2 linked regions of the Oryzias latipes genome follow. The protein of the gene in region 1 interacts with the protein of each later gene in a pairwise test. Links are inferred from orthologs where the notes say so. Each region holds a gene or a part of one and is shown on either strand. Other genes may lie near its edges.

The links.
Region 2: the proteins of vps33b (region 1) and vipas39 interact in binary tests that used the Homo sapiens proteins (3 or more experiments, as listed by UniProt). The link is inferred for Oryzias latipes from reciprocal best matches to the Homo sapiens genes VPS33B and VIPAS39.

Annotation. Positions count from the first base shown.
Region 1 is NC_019861.2:284,893-288,701, forward strand, and holds part of vps33b (vacuolar protein sorting-associated protein 33B), read right to left. Parts: coding exon 3,773-3,809; intron 3,697-3,772; coding exon 3,602-3,696; intron 1,987-3,601; coding exon 1,882-1,986; intron 1,799-1,881; coding exon 1,708-1,798; intron 1,634-1,707; coding exon 1,556-1,633; intron 1,261-1,555; coding exon 1,187-1,260; intron 1,118-1,186; coding exon 1,031-1,117; intron 966-1,030; coding exon 875-965; intron 806-874; coding exon 731-805; intron 625-730; coding exon 560-624; intron 489-559; coding exon 434-488; intron 368-433; coding exon 321-367; intron 250-320; coding exon 117-249; intron 1-116. UniProt on the Homo sapiens protein: May play a role in vesicle-mediated protein trafficking to lysosomal compartments and in membrane docking/fusion reactions of late endosomes/lysosomes.
Region 2 is NC_019882.2:23,108,918-23,113,206, reverse strand, and holds the start of vipas39 (spermatogenesis-defective protein 39 homolog), read left to right. Parts: upstream 1-1,420; 5' UTR 1,421-1,425; coding exon 1,426-1,611; exon of another isoform or gene 1,612-1,715; intron 1,716-1,718; coding exon 1,719-1,940; intron 1,941-3,154; coding exon 3,155-3,247; intron 3,248-3,746; coding exon 3,747-3,849; intron 3,850-3,926; coding exon 3,927-4,064; intron 4,065-4,132; coding exon 4,133-4,171; intron 4,172-4,289. Other genes in the region: activator of 90 kDa heat shock protein ATPase homolog 1, read right to left, coding at 707-809, 1,411-1,420.

The sequences.
Region 1 (3,809 bases):
TCTGTAAGCCGTGTGGACCCCCGTTATTTAGATCTTTGCTATGATGACACTTTCTACCTCAAAGTGGACTTTCATGATCTGACGTTGGTCTGAAGGACTAATCAGGACTGGTGTACCTGCCGTTTTGTCGTTGACCAGCTTTCCCACTTTGCTTTCCATGACGGTGAGCGTCTCCGCCCCCTGCTGCTCCACCAGCAGCCCCAGCTGCCTCAGGTTGGAGAAGGTGAGCAGGTGGTCAAAGCCATAACTCTGAAGACAGCCGACATTGCAGAAGTTGATGTCCACCTCATTGGACTCATAAAGCTGCTTTAAGAACGTACCTGGAGGTACTGCGTCTTCAAAGAGCGATAGTCTTTGGGCAGCAGTCCTGTGATGAAGCAGAATCATGAAAAAACAAGAACAACCCATCCCTTTTTGAGGAGTGAGTGTTTACCGTTCTCTGTGATGGACAGAAGACACAGCATCCGCAGGCTTTCCATCATGGAGATCTGCAGGAAACGGAGGAACGGGGTCGGACTTTGTGGAGTTTCATCTCCTAACCGTGTCGACGAGGACTCACCTGTCTGTTGATGTGCTCCTCTATGAAGGAAATGCTTTCACGGATTTCAAAGCCTTCAAGTAGACCTGAAGAAACAGACGTTAAAAACCAATAGGAAGAAGAAAAAGCCTTAAAGCTTGTTTCAATCAGCCTCTCTGGAGAAGCTCAGCGGCAAAAGCATCAGTGGCTCACAGTGTTCTCTCTGCAGCAGCTCTTGGAAGTCCTGCTTTGTCTTCTTCTTCATGATGGACTCACTAGCACCAATGTCTGCAGAACAAACGCAGGTCAGCACGCATTTGCTGGTGTCACCCCGTGGAGCCTGTCACTCAAACCTACGCAGGCTGAGCAGCCGGTGCTCCTGCTTCAGTCCTTTCAGCTCCTCAGACACAAACGTTTTCATCTGCTTGATGTCCATCCCCTGACGCTTCTGCAGGGTCACCACAGCGTCAGAGCGGCTCACTGACTACCACGGGTTTCACAACACTCACGCACGTCGTATGCAGTCTGCAGGTTCCTGGCCTTCTGGCTGAGGAAACCAAAGACGTTGGAGAAATGTTCGTTTCGGATTTCATTGAAGACCTGCAGAAAGAGACAGGATCAGTCCAGAGTGTGCACAGAGAAGGAGCTGCAGCTCCCATCCCAGCCCACCTTATCCTGGGAGTTCAGCATGACCTTCACACTTCTGTCAGAGGAGGTGACGTCTGGACCAAACTCCACGCAGCCTGCAGACAAACCACAAAGATGAAAACCAGTGAGGAGAGAAGACGAGGCCAAAAGAAGCACAGAGCAACCAGAGAAGAGTCAGGGAAAAACTGAAGAAGAAACAGAAAGGACCAAAGGAAACCAAAAAGGAGAGGAAAGACAAACAACAAAAAAGCAGAAAAGTAGAGAAGAAGCAGCAGAACCAGCATCCGCCTCTTTCAAGTTTCAAAGGTAACCTTGAGGTGCATGGAGCAGGTTTGAGCACAAACACATCAGAGTCAAAGCCAAGTCAACTGTCCAACGACCAACACCAACCACACTTGATCCGAAAAATGTCGTCCAGCAGCCCCTCGTACACCACCTGTGAGCACAGAGGAGTGACGAAGTCTACGTCTGAGGAGACAGAGGAGAAGCCGATAAGGCAGAGCCGCGCATCAGGACCCCCCCTCCAGGATCAACCGTCCCACCTCGGTCAATGAGAAAGACACTCCCAATCTCAGCAGGACGAGCTCCTTGTTCTCCCTGCTCCACCTGCTCCCTCCACCACTCGTACGTCATCTGCAGTCAAGACGGAAACACTTTTCAGGCCAGCGGAAAAAAGGCCAGGAGAACCTGGAGGGGGCGGAGAAGACTCGCTGCACCTGGGAACAGGAGCCAATCCCGTACAGCTTGGAGAACGGGCCGTAAACCGAGTGGAGGAGGTGCAGAGCGCCCCCTACTGTTCTCAGCCACCGCTGATCTCCTGCCTGGAAGAGAGACAGCGTAAATCCTGATGTGAAAGCCCAGCTCTGACTTCCTGGTGGAAAACAGCAGGGGTTCAACTTGTATTCTGAAAAGAAGACTTGAGCTTGGCAGCTTTACAACTACTGAACTCAAGACAAAAATGAGGGAAAAGGTTAAAAAAAATCCTTTGTAGACTGTTGACATATTTATTGGGAGCATAACAACTGATAACAACTACATCACTAAACGTTAATGTGAAACACATTGACTGTACAGAAAACGTGGACTGAATGAGTGTAACACGACTGATTCAGACCAATCTCTGCTTACTGACATCATCTGGCTTCAACATAGCAGCATCCACATCAAGAAAAACGCACTTTACTTCATTGGAACTGGAAACAAGCCATTGTCTAGGGGTGATGACCCACTGACCCGGTCCAGTTCTCTAAACAGTCAATGGATGTGAGAACCAGAACAGGGAGAAGGCATTCCTGCCACCACAAACACATCAAACCTCTGATTCTGTTTACAGTTCGGATCCCTGAACAGTATGGGCCAATCAAAAGACAGAATGATAGTTTAGGCTTTGTCATCTCAGCCATACCTACAAAAACAAATCCTGTCTCCAAATAGAGAGTTCTGTTACGAAAAGCTTTATTGTGAGGTGTTTAATTGAAATGGAAAGGTCTAGATCAGTGTTTTTCAACCTTTTTTGAGCCACGGGACACTTTAACCTTGACAAAAATCCTGCGGCACACCAGCATCCAAAAAAAAAAAAAGGAGAAAGTCATAGTCTGTATTGATCTACAGTCCCTCCATGATCTCATACATTTTTGTGATAATTGTGGCAGAAAAAGCTGGAAGCTGCAGATGTTTTTTCTAAAAGATGGAATAAAAGTTAAGTTAGAAGATTTAAAAACTGTTTAATGTGTGTTCGTTGTGGTTTCAAGGCGTTTAACAAGGACGACTCATTGTACGCTGAGACGCTGTCACTTTGACCCAATGCATCATGGGAGATGTAGTGATGGCAGACAGACTCTCTTCTCTGAGCTTCATGGTTTCGCTCACTTGTTCCACGGTCTGACACCGGATTCTGTGGAAAGCTACACCGCTAAAGACGAGCTTTAGCTGGTATTTCTGTTGGAACTGAGAGACTTTATGAGCAAAATCAGAACAAGGAAGTGAAGACTTTAACCACTTCTGATTGGTCAGACTGATGACATGTGATTGAGCCTCCAAGAATGATTGGTGGAGACAGTTAAAGGGGCGGGACTTTTCCTAAAACAGCTGAAGCTACGGCTAAATTGTGGTACCGTCATTCTTATCAAAATGTCTTTAATAGAATCAAATAAACACAAAGAAAAAAGTATTTTATATTCCTAACTACTCAGTGTTTTATCAGGGCCTGTTTGGATGAACACAGAGCTGATATCCTGGAGATGGAAATGTTTTTAGGTCAGTGAATGGGTCATTTCCTACACCTGACCATCTCCCACCGCACACTAGTGTGCTGCGGCACACTGGTCGAAAAACACTGATCTAGAAGACCTGAAAACAACTCTGACAATTCTAGGAGCAGCTCAGACAAAGATGTACGTCCTGCATAGTCCACACAGGCACTGGAACTTTATTTACCAGAAAATTGTCGTGAAAGAACTCAGGCAGCTCCATACTTAAGATGTCATCATCAAGGGGGAGGAGGTAGAAGGCCCACTCGTCTGTGGTCACGTCTGTCCGGACACGGAGACTGTGTTAGCACCTGGAACCGGCATTCCTGCCTCCAGGCAGACATGCAGAGAAGCTTACCGCCAAAGACGCCCTCCTCCTCCAGCACCGCCTCACA
Region 2 (4,289 bases), on another chromosome or scaffold:
TCTCCCTATGGGCCTGGTTTGGGGTCTCAATAAAGTTTTGTTTGTAGCCAAGAAAGAGAACTCTGGCATCAGGAGCTCCCATCGACGCTCAAGCATGTTTAAGGTATGACTCTCCTCACTAGAGATGGGATAATGCCTCAAGAAGTGTGACACATTATCCAAACTGTGACACTAGTGATGGGCAGATGAAGCTTCATGAAGTGATGAAACTTTCATCCAGTTAGTTCGCTCAAGCGCTCTAGGAGGATATCTAGTGGATGCAAAAAATCTGTTGAATTTGAAATGTGACACTTTGAAAAGCCAATGAATGGACATGTCAGCAAAATAAAGTTTAACATGTATGTTGCCAAGTACTCTGTTAACCTATGACTTTGGTGTTCAATCATACAGAATAACAGACTAAAAGTGGATTCATTCAGACATTTCAGTGAGACGACAAGTTTTTGCTCCAAGATGATCTCTTTTGGTAGAACATATGAAGCTGCAATGAGCTCCAGGATCCAACAATCCCTCCTTTTCAACAGTGATGAGTGGCTGACAGTCTTTGATCATCTTCACCACGGCCTCCTCTGCTGGTTAGGAACTGAACACTAAAGGAAATATTTCCTTTAAAGATCTGTCATTTTACAAACAATATAGCAGAGTCACACAAAGCCTTCGGTGTGTAATAAACTATTCTTAATCAACATATTTGTGAGATACTCACATGAGGATCTGCATATTGTCTGACAAGTTAGGCTCTAACACGTGCCCACCAGGGGAGCTGGAGGGAAGCCCGGGCATCTTCTGCTGCCCCCACAGACCCGGTCCTGGATGAGCGGATGGAGATGTTAAGCTCTATAATGCCTCAGCGTTGATGAAGTGTTCTTTTTGATGCTCTGTGGAGTTGACACTTCTCTTAATGCCTACAATAAAATAAGGTTCATTTATCTGAAATCAATTCAACTTTCTTACAGAAAAGGATAGACGCATGTTTCATTCAAAAACTAAAAGCAAACAATGTCCAAAGGTGAAAAATGTTGACTTTTTTGCTATCAAAAGATCAAAATGGTTCCAGACTGGGGGAAATTTCTTATTGGAACGATCCATGTAGTCAGAACAGTTTCATCTCCATTCAACAAATCTACAACACAAGGCTAAACGCAGCAACACTCACAAACACAATTTGGCACAACTCTCCCAAACAAAAGCCGTCCTGACAGCCTCCCTAATCCCAGGACTCTTCCTGGGTTTAGGGAGGCGGCTTTTCCAAACTCCCCTCTTCCAGATTCTAGACTGTTATTGAAAATGCCTGAGAGAAAATGTCAGTTAAGATCTGTTCACAAGTTCTGTGAGCTGCAGAGACATAATGTTTAAATGAATGCAAAAAAAAAGATCATCTGAGCTCAAAAAGGATGCAGCTAAACGTACCTTTTAGCATGAAAAATGCAGAAGCTTGGAGTCCAGTGGGGTCTCTGCCAACCCGGGACCCTGCAGAGAGTGGAAGTCAAATGGATTTTTCCAGGAGGGACTTCTGCATCTGGCACCCCCGCCCCGTCTCAGTGGACCACTGACACGAGTATTTTGTCCAGTCAATGGGTGTACTCACAAAGGCATTGGCTCCTCCCACAGGTGAGCTCTTAGGTATGACTGACGTGGTTTTCTTCGCGGAAACTATTGAGTTTCATGATGGAGATGAAAAAAACCATGAACGTCTGGTTTTTACTGATAAATACCAGGTTAATGGGCGGAAGAGCAGAAAACATCTGCATGTCAACGCGGACCCCTTCAGGGCCGTGTGGCCGGGAGGAGGTTCCGCTGCGACCAGAGGGGGCGCTGTTTCCCCTCTGAGGGAGGAGGGGAGTCGCCGCCCACCCTCAAAGAAGAATCAGTCAGGAGGAAGAGGAGCAACAGCTGGAGGAAGAGGAGCAACAGCTGGAGGTGTCGTCTGCACCGTAGAGGTTGGCATCAGTTATCAATTAGTCTGATTGTGTCTGTTGTTCGTGTCAGCTGTCGTCATGTTTACGTCACTACGTTCGTCAGGAGATGTTTGTTAGCCTGCTAGCATGCTAGCATCTCAATTGCGGGTGCCCAAATATTTTCACGTCAGCTCTTCTTTACCTTATCTGTAAACAACAAACAACGTCTCACGACACCGAGGCTGGCGGGGGGGGGGGGGGGCTGAAGCGGACAGCGGGGGTTGAGTCTGCAGACGGTCTGACTGATGAAGATGATGAAGAAGAGGCAGCAGACCGTCCTTTCCGGCGCAGGTGCTCAGCGGAAGTCCTGACCATGATGGAGCTTCCTGTTAAATCCTGTCAGTATTGTTTCCTTGGACTCCGTGAAGACTTCCTCCGTCTGCTGTGGCTCTGAAGGCTTGTGGAGAGTCTCATCCTTCCTGTGGAAAAGCCCACGTAAAGCTGCGACTCCGCCAAATCTTCAGGACCTCTTCCTTTTGGAGCTAAGACTGTCAGTCTGTGGTCTGAGGAAACTGACCGCTCCACGAGCCGCTGCCTCTTCCTCCAACACCCCAGACTTAGACTGAGCTCACTGTAGAGATGAGTTGCAGTAACTGCAGCAGGTGGATTAAGGGGAAAAAGGTCAAACATGCAACACAGCTGAGGCCCAGGTACAGACAGCGATGTCTTTCAGGTGCCTCTAACCTCCAAAACAGAACCATCTCCACTTCACCACTTTGGTTCGGCCTCTTCCATGACGTTTGGGATCCATCCTTTCAAACGGATTCATCCTCGAAGCGCCGTTACGTTCCGTGACATTCCGAAAGCCGGAATGAAACTGCCTGCAGCAGTGTGTCTTTTTCAAAGACTCGTAACTTTGGCAGCAGGAAATTCAACCAGCAACCCTTTGGTTGGGTTTGGTTCTTCCGACTAAGTTTTCCATGGTTGTTTTTAGGCTGCATGTGTGATCTGAGTTTGAGGTGAAAATCCACAAGCATCACTGCAGAAGGCTCATGTCACGCCTTCCCAGCAGCGCTCTCACTGCAGTGTTTCCAGGCAGCAGGTGTATATTTCCACTGTATGTTCTTTTAGAAGAACCTCCACCAATTGTTGTGGACCCCCCTGCTTACAGCCCCTTATTTTGAAAACCCACCAACCTCAAAGAATGACAGAGTGGTGACCAATGTCTCTGAAGCGGATTCTGTCTCTGCAAACAGATGATGAGGAGCAAGGCGGATGAGGAAGAGTACTGGCACAGTTCCAAGTTCAAGGCTTTCACTTTCGAGGACGAAGATGAAGAGCTCAGCAGGGTAAGATGCTTTTAAGTGAAGTCACTCAGACTCCTTTGTCTGTTTTCTGATGTGTCCAGGTCTAGACTCCTTCAGAGTTCCTCTGGGTCCCATAGGGTTCTTTGGGTTTGTGAGGTCTCCTTAGTCTCTTAAGGTTCTTTGGGGATCTCAGTGTCACTCTGCATCCTTCGCCCTTTTTGTTTCTTTAGATCTTTCAGATTTCTTCAGAGATGTGAAATGATCCTTTTATGCTCTTCAAGTTCCTTTGGGGTTCTCTGGGTTCATTGGAGAGCCATAGATTTGTTTTGACATCTTTGGGTTTTTCAGGTTCTTCAGTTGATGTTTATTTTTCTTAGAAGTCCAAACCAAGACAGCCTTAGGTTTCTCTGTTCGGTTTAACAATCTCTACAAAAATAATCCATCACTAAGTGAAGGTGCTCTGATGAGGGTTGTGGGTTTCTGTTGTGTTACTGAAGTGGGGGTGAATAAAGTTGGTTGAATCAGGACTGTGCTGTGATAGCTGAAGGAGTCAAAGCAGGCGGTTAACAGCATTCGGCAGCTGGTGGAGGAAGATGATGATGATGACACGGAGAAGGTCAGCTGGAGTGGAGAGCCAGTTGGCAGTAAGTCACCTTAAGGTGGGGGGGGGTCCTGCTTTGTGACTGGCTGCAGGGATATGACCTAGGGATTGGTTTTTCAGGTATCTCCTGGTCCATCAAAGAGATGGCAGGGTCCAATCAGAAGATAGACAGAGAACCCGCCTTCCCCAGAATCCCAACAGAACCATCAACCCTTAACAAAAGTCACTCCGGACTCTCTCTGAGCTCCCTGTTCAGAGGTATGTGGTGGGAACGGGTCATGTGACCCAGACAGACAAACATCTGACTTACATCTGTCTGCCTGCAGGAAAAGCAAAATCAGAAAACTTCCAGAGCTTCTCCGACGGTCAGTGATGGAAACATGCATCATTTTAAGACTTAAGGCCACTGTCAGGTCTGTTGAGGGATCCCCAAATCAGAGAAAGAGGATTGTCTGATGTGATGACCACAGATGATGGAGCCCT